2 linked regions of the Oreochromis niloticus genome follow. The protein of the gene in region 1 purifies or fractionates together with the protein of each later gene. This does not show direct contact. Links are inferred from orthologs where the notes say so. Each region holds a gene or a part of one and is shown in the gene's direction. Other genes may lie near its edges.

The links. The genes of interacting proteins can lie anywhere in the genome.
Region 2: the proteins of kdm8 (region 1) and rccd1 purify together in Homo sapiens (co-immunoprecipitation; 3 studies listed by BioGRID and IntAct, counting the BioPlex papers as one, with this or other methods). This does not show direct contact. The link is inferred for Oreochromis niloticus from reciprocal best matches to the Homo sapiens genes KDM8 and RCCD1.

Annotation. Positions count from the first base shown.
Region 1 is NC_031969.2:25,122,232-25,125,984, forward strand, and holds the start of kdm8 (lysine-specific demethylase 8), read left to right. Parts: upstream 1-1,025; 5' UTR 1,026-1,302; coding exon 1,303-1,312; exon of another isoform or gene 1,313-1,368; intron 1,369-1,400; exon of another isoform or gene 1,401-1,476; coding exon of another isoform or gene 1,477-1,480; intron 1,481-2,419; coding exon 2,420-2,904; intron 2,905-3,639; coding exon 3,640-3,753. UniProt on the Homo sapiens protein: Bifunctional enzyme that acts both as an endopeptidase and 2-oxoglutarate-dependent monooxygenase.
Region 2 is NC_031972.2:57,591,455-57,595,207, reverse strand, and holds rccd1 (RCC1 domain-containing protein 1), read left to right. Parts: upstream 1-1,320; 5' UTR 1,321-1,432; coding exon 1,433-1,640; intron 1,641-1,745; coding exon 1,746-1,961; intron 1,962-2,059; coding exon 2,060-2,219; intron 2,220-2,349; coding exon 2,350-2,471; intron 2,472-2,547; coding exon 2,548-2,649; intron 2,650-2,737; coding exon 2,738-2,908; intron 2,909-2,994; coding exon 2,995-3,024; intron 3,025-3,138; coding exon 3,139-3,320; 3' UTR 3,321-3,621; coding exon of another isoform or gene 3,622-3,643; 3' UTR 3,644-3,646; downstream 3,647-3,753. Other genes in the region: unc45a (protein unc-45 homolog A), read left to right, coding at 1-146; cib1 (calcium and integrin-binding protein 1), read right to left, coding at 3,622-3,643, 3,729-3,753. UniProt on the Homo sapiens protein: Plays a role in transcriptional repression of satellite repeats, possibly by regulating H3K36 methylation levels in centromeric regions together with KDM8.

The DNA of each region.
Region 1 (3,753 bases):
TGTCTCTCTCTTGTTTCCATCTGCTTTACATACAAGAGCGGCTGTGCAGTTTGCACTGAGAGAATATTTGAATTTCATAGAGTGTTTGACATTTGATAATAGTGCACTGTGTTTATAGATTCTAGACTTCCCTGCCGAAGGTTTCCTATCATGCTTGTTCAGGCTACATACCCCCTAAAAAAGCAATATAACTGCCCTGCCCCTCCAAATATCTCTGTGTGACATCAAAAAGACAAACCCAAATATGGTTTCACTTGAGCTGATAAATATCAATCATCCTTCTTGGAATATCTGTGTTTACATAAATCGTTTCGAGCAGTGGGAGCAATTAAAGGGGAGGAAAAACAAATAGTTGTGTGCTGTCATTTAATGTGACAAAAGAGCTGGGGTCTCACTGCAAGACAGTCTATTGACTGGACTCTGTCATTTCACCTGTTAAGCCAAATTTATAATTGTATGTAAATGAGGTGGTGCTGTCACCAGAGCGCTGTTTCATTTTAACTGAGCTTCAGAGCATCTGGTTAATCATCTAAAAAGACAGAAATGAGACAGAAACGGGTTTTAAATAGCCAGTAGTCTGAGAGGTTGTGAGCAAAAATGTGCGTGTAGGAGTAGGATATGCGTGGGAGTGTGTATGCTTGGCAGGAAACTGGCAACACATGACAAACAAACAGGGGTGTGCAGCGCGCCAGCTTGACTTGGAGAAGGGGAGGGCGGGGGGTCGCAGAGTCCAAGGACTTAGCAAAGTGCCATTTAATTGAATGCCATCCTGCCTTTGCATTGGGACTGTAACCTCACAGGTTAGAGGAAGTGCAGATGCTGCCACCATCTACTGGACCACAAAGGGAATCCCAGTTTCTGCCTTTTGAGAAAGAAAAGAAAAAGCTTAAGTTCTTGAAAATAAATAAACCATAAAAGCAATATTTTGTCATTATTAATTTGAGGGGATCTGTTTTTTATATATAGCTTTGAATATCTACACTGCAGCGTGGAACCAATATGTTTAGCTATTCGAGTTTCCTCCCGGTGTGTTTTTGTTGTGCCACAGGCGTCAGAGTAGCGCGGGCGTGTGTGTGGAGTTGCTCCGTAATTTCACAGATATTATCGGATTATTGGTGTAAATGGCTTAGTAAAAGGTAAATGTGGCATTTTAGGGATTTAATTTGAACTTAAATAAGTCTCCGTGTTTACGAGTCATCGTGAAACATTGTCGTCAAAACGTTTTTCACAAGTGTGCAAAATTCACAGACTGCAAGTAACAGAAAAGAGACGAAGAATGACAGAAGGAAGAAAGGGATAAATATGGAAAACTGTAAATATTTTCATGAGGTCTGGTCCTCTATTTCTGTGTCCATAAACCTGTTTCAGGTATTAAGTGCGTTTCGTCATAGCTTTAAATGGGAAATTCCTGGCAAGCTTTATTAGCAAAAAATTAAGAACATTTGTATTTAAAGGAGTATATATCTCTCTGTGTGTATGTGTAAGTAGCCACGTTTTTAAAGCTACAGTCTTGCGTTCATGTTACATCTTTGTTTCTTGTGAGATTTTGGGATAAAATTGAGCATAGAGTGAATTGCACTGCGGGAGTCTAATCTCCGAGGCTTTAAAGAAAAATATAATTGGCTTTCTCCCGCTGCTGCATAAAGGAAAAAAATGAATGAGATAAAGTTCACTCTTTGCTCATACTTTGATGACTTCCATAATGAAATCTCACTGAAGGGACTGTAATTCCCCAAATATCCTATGTCGCTGGGGTTTCCATTGGATTTTTGGGTTTGCTGCACATGCTCTCAGCCCATGTGACTGTGTAAAAATCAGCTGGAGTGCACTCCAGGGTCGTGGATGGCTTAGGCATGTGGCATATCAAATGCTTGCTTTGTTTAGTCCAGTCTGCCTCTGAGTTCACAGGGCTGCATTTCTGTACTCAAATGAATCAGGCCCTCGGAGTTGGCTGCCTCCTGCTTTGGCATCATCTCCAGCAACACAGACCATCCAAACGCTGATGGAGTCACATGGAGGCGGAGTTGGCGGCTCCAGAAACAATGCGGCAAAAGTGTTGTTTTCATGCATGTGTCTCGCCCCCCGGTTCTGGCTCAGGATGCCCTCACCTGTGTTCTGTTGTTGCCAGTTTAGTAATTAGTTGTATACATCTGTTTCACAGCACCAAAGAGGCTGAACAAGCGTACTGTGTATTTGTGCGACAATGGCAGGCGGTTTTAACAGTTGGTGGGCTCAATAACCAGCTAAATACATAAGGAGTCATTAAATTACATCCCTTCCCTTTAAAAAAAGAAAAGTCAGTGAATTGGTGAAAGTGAGCCTAAATCTGAGCAAATTTAACTTCTAAGTGCTTCATTATAAGAACTTGAGTTGACACTTCACTGTTAACCCTGACTCACTTTCATTGTTCATTTGACAGTAAAAATAACGACCTTCTCGTCAATGGCATCGCTGTGGTCAAAAATCTCTCCAGTAGTGCCTGCTAATGAAGACCAGTTTCCACTGCAATTCAGTGACAAAGTGGAGCTGAGTGTGGTGGAAATGCTGCAACGGTCCAGGAAGCAGCTGTACAGCGACATCACAAGTTCCAGCCGGTTGCTTAATGCTCAGATTATTTTGGACATTTCATGGGAGAAGCTCAACACCGGAACATGGCGGCACGTGGACAAGGAGTGGAGGCGCGTTTACTCGTATGGCTGCTTCTTCAAAGTGGCGGCACTGTGTTGTGAAAGTCCGTCCGAAGACAAGATCCTGGAGGCTGTTCGGACTTGCGACATGGGTCTAATCATGGGCGCGGCCATCATGGGTGATATACTTCAGGTTATTGTTCGGATTCTGCAAAGTCACATAAGGACATTGAACTCTACTAAAGAAGAGGATGAGAGTGAACGTGCTGAGGTCAAGGTCAGCGATTTTTTTTCTTTCATCTGAAATGCACAATTTTCTGTCAGTCCTTTAGTTTATTTAGTAATTACTAACTGTAAGTTCTACTAGTTAGAAAACATTGTTGTACATTTCATTTAACCTGATTCATTGTTCGAAGTAATAGTGACTGATGGGGACATTTCAGAGTAAATCTTCTGGACGCTTAGAAAAGAAATTCCTCTGTGACCTTCATTTTGTTGCACTCCATCAGATGTCACTGAAGATTAAGTGCAGCAACTTTTCAAATGTCAGGTCACTTTGTTTAGACACCATCTAAATAGAGATGGAGAGTTTAGCGCAGGGCTGGCAGGATTTTTCTTGCTTTTTTTTCCCCCTTTAAAAGCTATCATCTTAAAAAAGCTGTTGAAATATTCTACCCATCTGTCACGAGCTGCACAGTGGGGAGTGGGGCTGCAACTAACAAGTATTTAGAAATTTTCTTTAATTTGTTCTTGGTTAATCAGGTCAAGGAAACTGTAGAAAGTAGCAACACATTTCCCAGAAGCTTAAAGTCATACTATGATTAAATTGCCTGCCACACTTACAGTACAAAAGAACACTGAAATCAGTATAAGCTGGAACCCAGAGAAGACTTAATTGATAGTTGTTTACTCACATCTGTGAGATATAATCAAGGACTTGTTTTTCTTATCGTTTTCCTCTAAAGGTTGAATTGACTTTTTTTTTTTTTTTTCATTTTGAAATCATTTTCAGAGAATAAAGATTGAAAGCCCGCTTGTCTCTGCAATCAAAGAAGAGTTGGCGGTTCCCAGGATAAGGTGTCCTTCACTGGAAAGTTTCAAAACAAACTACCTGCTCCCCCTCAAA
Region 2 (3,753 bases), on another chromosome or scaffold:
AGATTCTTTCCGTCCTTGCAAAGGGAGGAGAGGGCACGCCAGATGCTGTCTCGAAGATAGCTCAGAACTGCCTGGATAAAGCAATGGAGTACGGCATCATCAGAAGCAGGGAAGAAAAGAAGAAGAGCTCAGGAACTGAACCCTGAACACAAAGTGCAGTGTGTGAATGTGCCACCTGACAGTGTTTCAGAACTTCGAACGTTATATTGGACCAGTGAAGTAATTTCATTTTTGCAGGAAATGGGCTCATGTCTTAACAAAAAATGATTAAAAGCAATAAGGGATGTGGTGAAGAATGGTATCAAATGGAAGAACCAACAGCACACAAATGATTTTTGACTGCTGTGTAACGTTGATTGTATGCTTGCTAAAGTCTGGCAAAAGTGCATATTCCACCCAGAGACCAACATTTCTCCTCCATGTATTTTCACTAAAAATGATCATTCCTATATATGTGCAAATATTTAATTTGACTGTCATTAGTCCCACAAATACGTTCTTATTTTTATTGTGCACACTACTTTTCTCAATATTTTATTTTATTTTCAGCAAAAATAGAAACATTTCATTTACACTATAAAATGTACTTTTTGTTTAAATGTTTGTTAGCACTATTATTGACAGTCCAACACATTCCCTGTGTGCTTTGTTGTTTTAATACGTTTTAAGTGAACACATAAAAATAAATAAATAAATAAAAATGACCAATCCTCACTTCTCTGTTTACTTTATCTGATATCCAGCCTTGCTAGATGTACTTTATAATGGTGCTTTAGTGCTGGGATGCCCAACTATGTTTATCCCTCAACCATGAAAGGCATTGTCATCACCCTGCTGGGCAGGCAATAAGGATACCCAACATTTTGAATGTGATAACTTTAGAATGAAGCAATGTAGGAGTTTCAAATTGATACCTTAAGTGTATCTACTAAAAATCTCTGAGTTTGAATCTCAGTTTTCAGAAAATATTGTGAATGCAATAACTGAGAACAAAGATAGGATGTTGAAATTGACATCATAGGTACAGCTGCTAGGAGGATTGGGGGGGGGGGGCCACTGACTGCTCCGAGTATTTTTATATTATTAAAATGGCCATTCTACAACTTTGTCCTATCAAAGTTTGTGATGCACAATTTATAATTTATGGCAGGGGTTAAAACTCAATTTAGTTCAGTGATCATGTACAGTCCAGCTGATCTGCTACCTAAGTGAGCCAGGCCAGTAATACATAACAACCTGTATCAAAAAAGCCCATCTTAAATACTGTCAATAAACATGAACTTGGTGTCTATCTCTTTAAAGACGATTTAAACCATATGCTCCTCCCTCGCCACTCGTCATCATCTCTCGCCGCTTGTGCTCCTGCAGTACGAAAACAAGCGCAGCCGCAGGTAAGTTTGCGGATTCTTCCGCTGAGCGGCACGGTGTTCAGATGCGCTGGTTTGGTTTCGGCTTCAATGCCTTTGGACAGATACGTGTCCAGGAAAAGTCAGGCAGAGGAGAAAGTAGCAGCGCGCTCCACCAAGTTAAAGTAACTCACCCAGCAGAGCTCAGCAGTCACGTGGATAAAAGTGGATGCTGCTTGAAGACAAGTCAGATCAGAGTGAGCTGGAGTCGAAGAGCATCTTTACATTTAGATGGTGAGTGTATCAAAGACATCGCTCTGAGTTCTGAGGAATAACATGTCTTTAATACATCTATTGCTTTAGCTTAGCTCTTACGTTGTTGTTTTCTGTTTCTGTCAGGAGACAGCTGCCTGAGCCTGGCAGGCTTTGGGGAATCGGTCTCCAGTGAGGACTGTGGTATTTCTAAAATAGAGAGCTATGGTTGTAAAGATGTATTCATCAGTGAATCGCACTTGACCCTGGCCTTCCCAGACAGGATTGAGACCTGGGATCTGCAGAAGAGGGAGAAGAGTCCATCATGGAGCATGGATATAAAAACCCACGCAGAGGGCTCTGGTAATGTGTATGCTAATATCTTATCTGGCTAGACAGACATTAATAATGATGTATGAAATTACAGAGTCTCAATATTACTTTTTATTTATTTTTTGTAGATGTGAATTTGCCATTGGTCCCTGGGGGTTACATTGCCTTAAAGCCTCCCCTCTACTGCACCTTACCAGGACACCTGAAAGCCAGGAGCCTAGCACTGGGTGCAGAGCATGCCGTTCTTCTTACTGCCACTGGAGCAGTGTACAGCTGGGGACTGGGCAGGTGGAGCCACTTACACATATATCTTTATTGAACATATGAGAAGCAGCAGTTTCATGCATAAACAACAATCAACAAACAAACGAACAAGCATAAGTTAATCTTCCTATGCGTGCATGTGTTTATGTAACAGCCATGGTCAGCTGGGGCATGGAGTGCTCACCTCTGAGGAGGAGCCCAGAGTAGTGGAGGCACTCTGGGGGATGTCCATGACCCGTGTGGCTACAGGAGGCTGGCACTCAGCTTGCATTAGTGGTAAATGTCAAATAAAGATTTGGACAAGTTACACTCGGTTTGAAAAGGATTTGAAGAGGATCGTTTTTGTTCTTAGATGGGGGTGACCTTTATGTGTGGGGCTGGAATGAGAGCGGCCAGCTTGGACTTCCTTCCCGAGGTCTGAGGAAATCTCAGCAGAAAAGTAGTCAGCAAACAGGTCTGTCCTGAAATGTGCACTGCTTTAAAGAGTTATATTGAAGAGGCAGTTTTTACATCCATTTTGAACCACTGACTTTATCAAACAGGAGAATTGTGCTATGATACCAGTACACCAGCTGATGAAAAGCTAAAGGAGGAAGAGGAGCATGAAGATGTATTCATATCAATCCAGGCGTTCCCTGCTCTGCTGGATGTCTCTCCTTCATGTGAAATCCAAACAGTAAGCTGTGGTTCCCGCCACACAGCTGCAGTAACAAGTAAGGAATGTCTTTTGGCAGTTGTTTTACAGGGATGCACATTTCCTAGCAAATAAACTAATTATGTCACAATTTCTTCTTTTCAGCCACTGGTGACCTCTATACTTGGGGATGGGGTGAGTTTTGGTTTTAGAAACGTGTTACATCTAAGTGAAATTCTCACAGCAGCATCATTCAAATCAAAGTGAATGCCGAGATTTTAGGCTTCTTTGCCTTTATTACCTTTCCAGGGGAATACGGCCAGCTTGGACATCAAACCGTAACTAGTTCAGATGAGCCGCAGCGTGTGGAGTTTTTCAGGGCTGAGCAGATGCGTGTGCTTGATGTGGTGTGCGGGACATGGAACACATTTGCTGCAGCTGTAAAGGAGGAAGTAGCTTGTGCTGAAAATAGCACAAAATGCACTTGTTAAGCACAGTGAACTTTGGACGACAGTTGTAAATTTCTCCTACAAACACAAAGAATTAACTAAATTTATTTGTTCATTTTTTTTCTCTATAAAAACTCAACTCAATACTTTTTGGTGAAACTTTTATTTTTTCTTCAAACAGATGTTTAAAAAGGGTTTATATTTGACAAATGACATAAAACAGTTAAGGCAGCAAAATCCACAGGTAAATATAATTTAAGGCAAGTAATTAAAACTGTTCTGATTTAAAATTATACACTAAAATTAAAAAGGTGCATGCATCTCCAAGGTCCACTGGAAGTCTTCAGAGCACAATCTTGAAGGAACTGTGGATAAATCAAATGAGAATCAATTGGACACTTATAAATGCAAATAATTATTGGTATTTGGAGCAGCTGGATTTCTAGTTACCTGACAAAATCTGGTGACCTTGAAA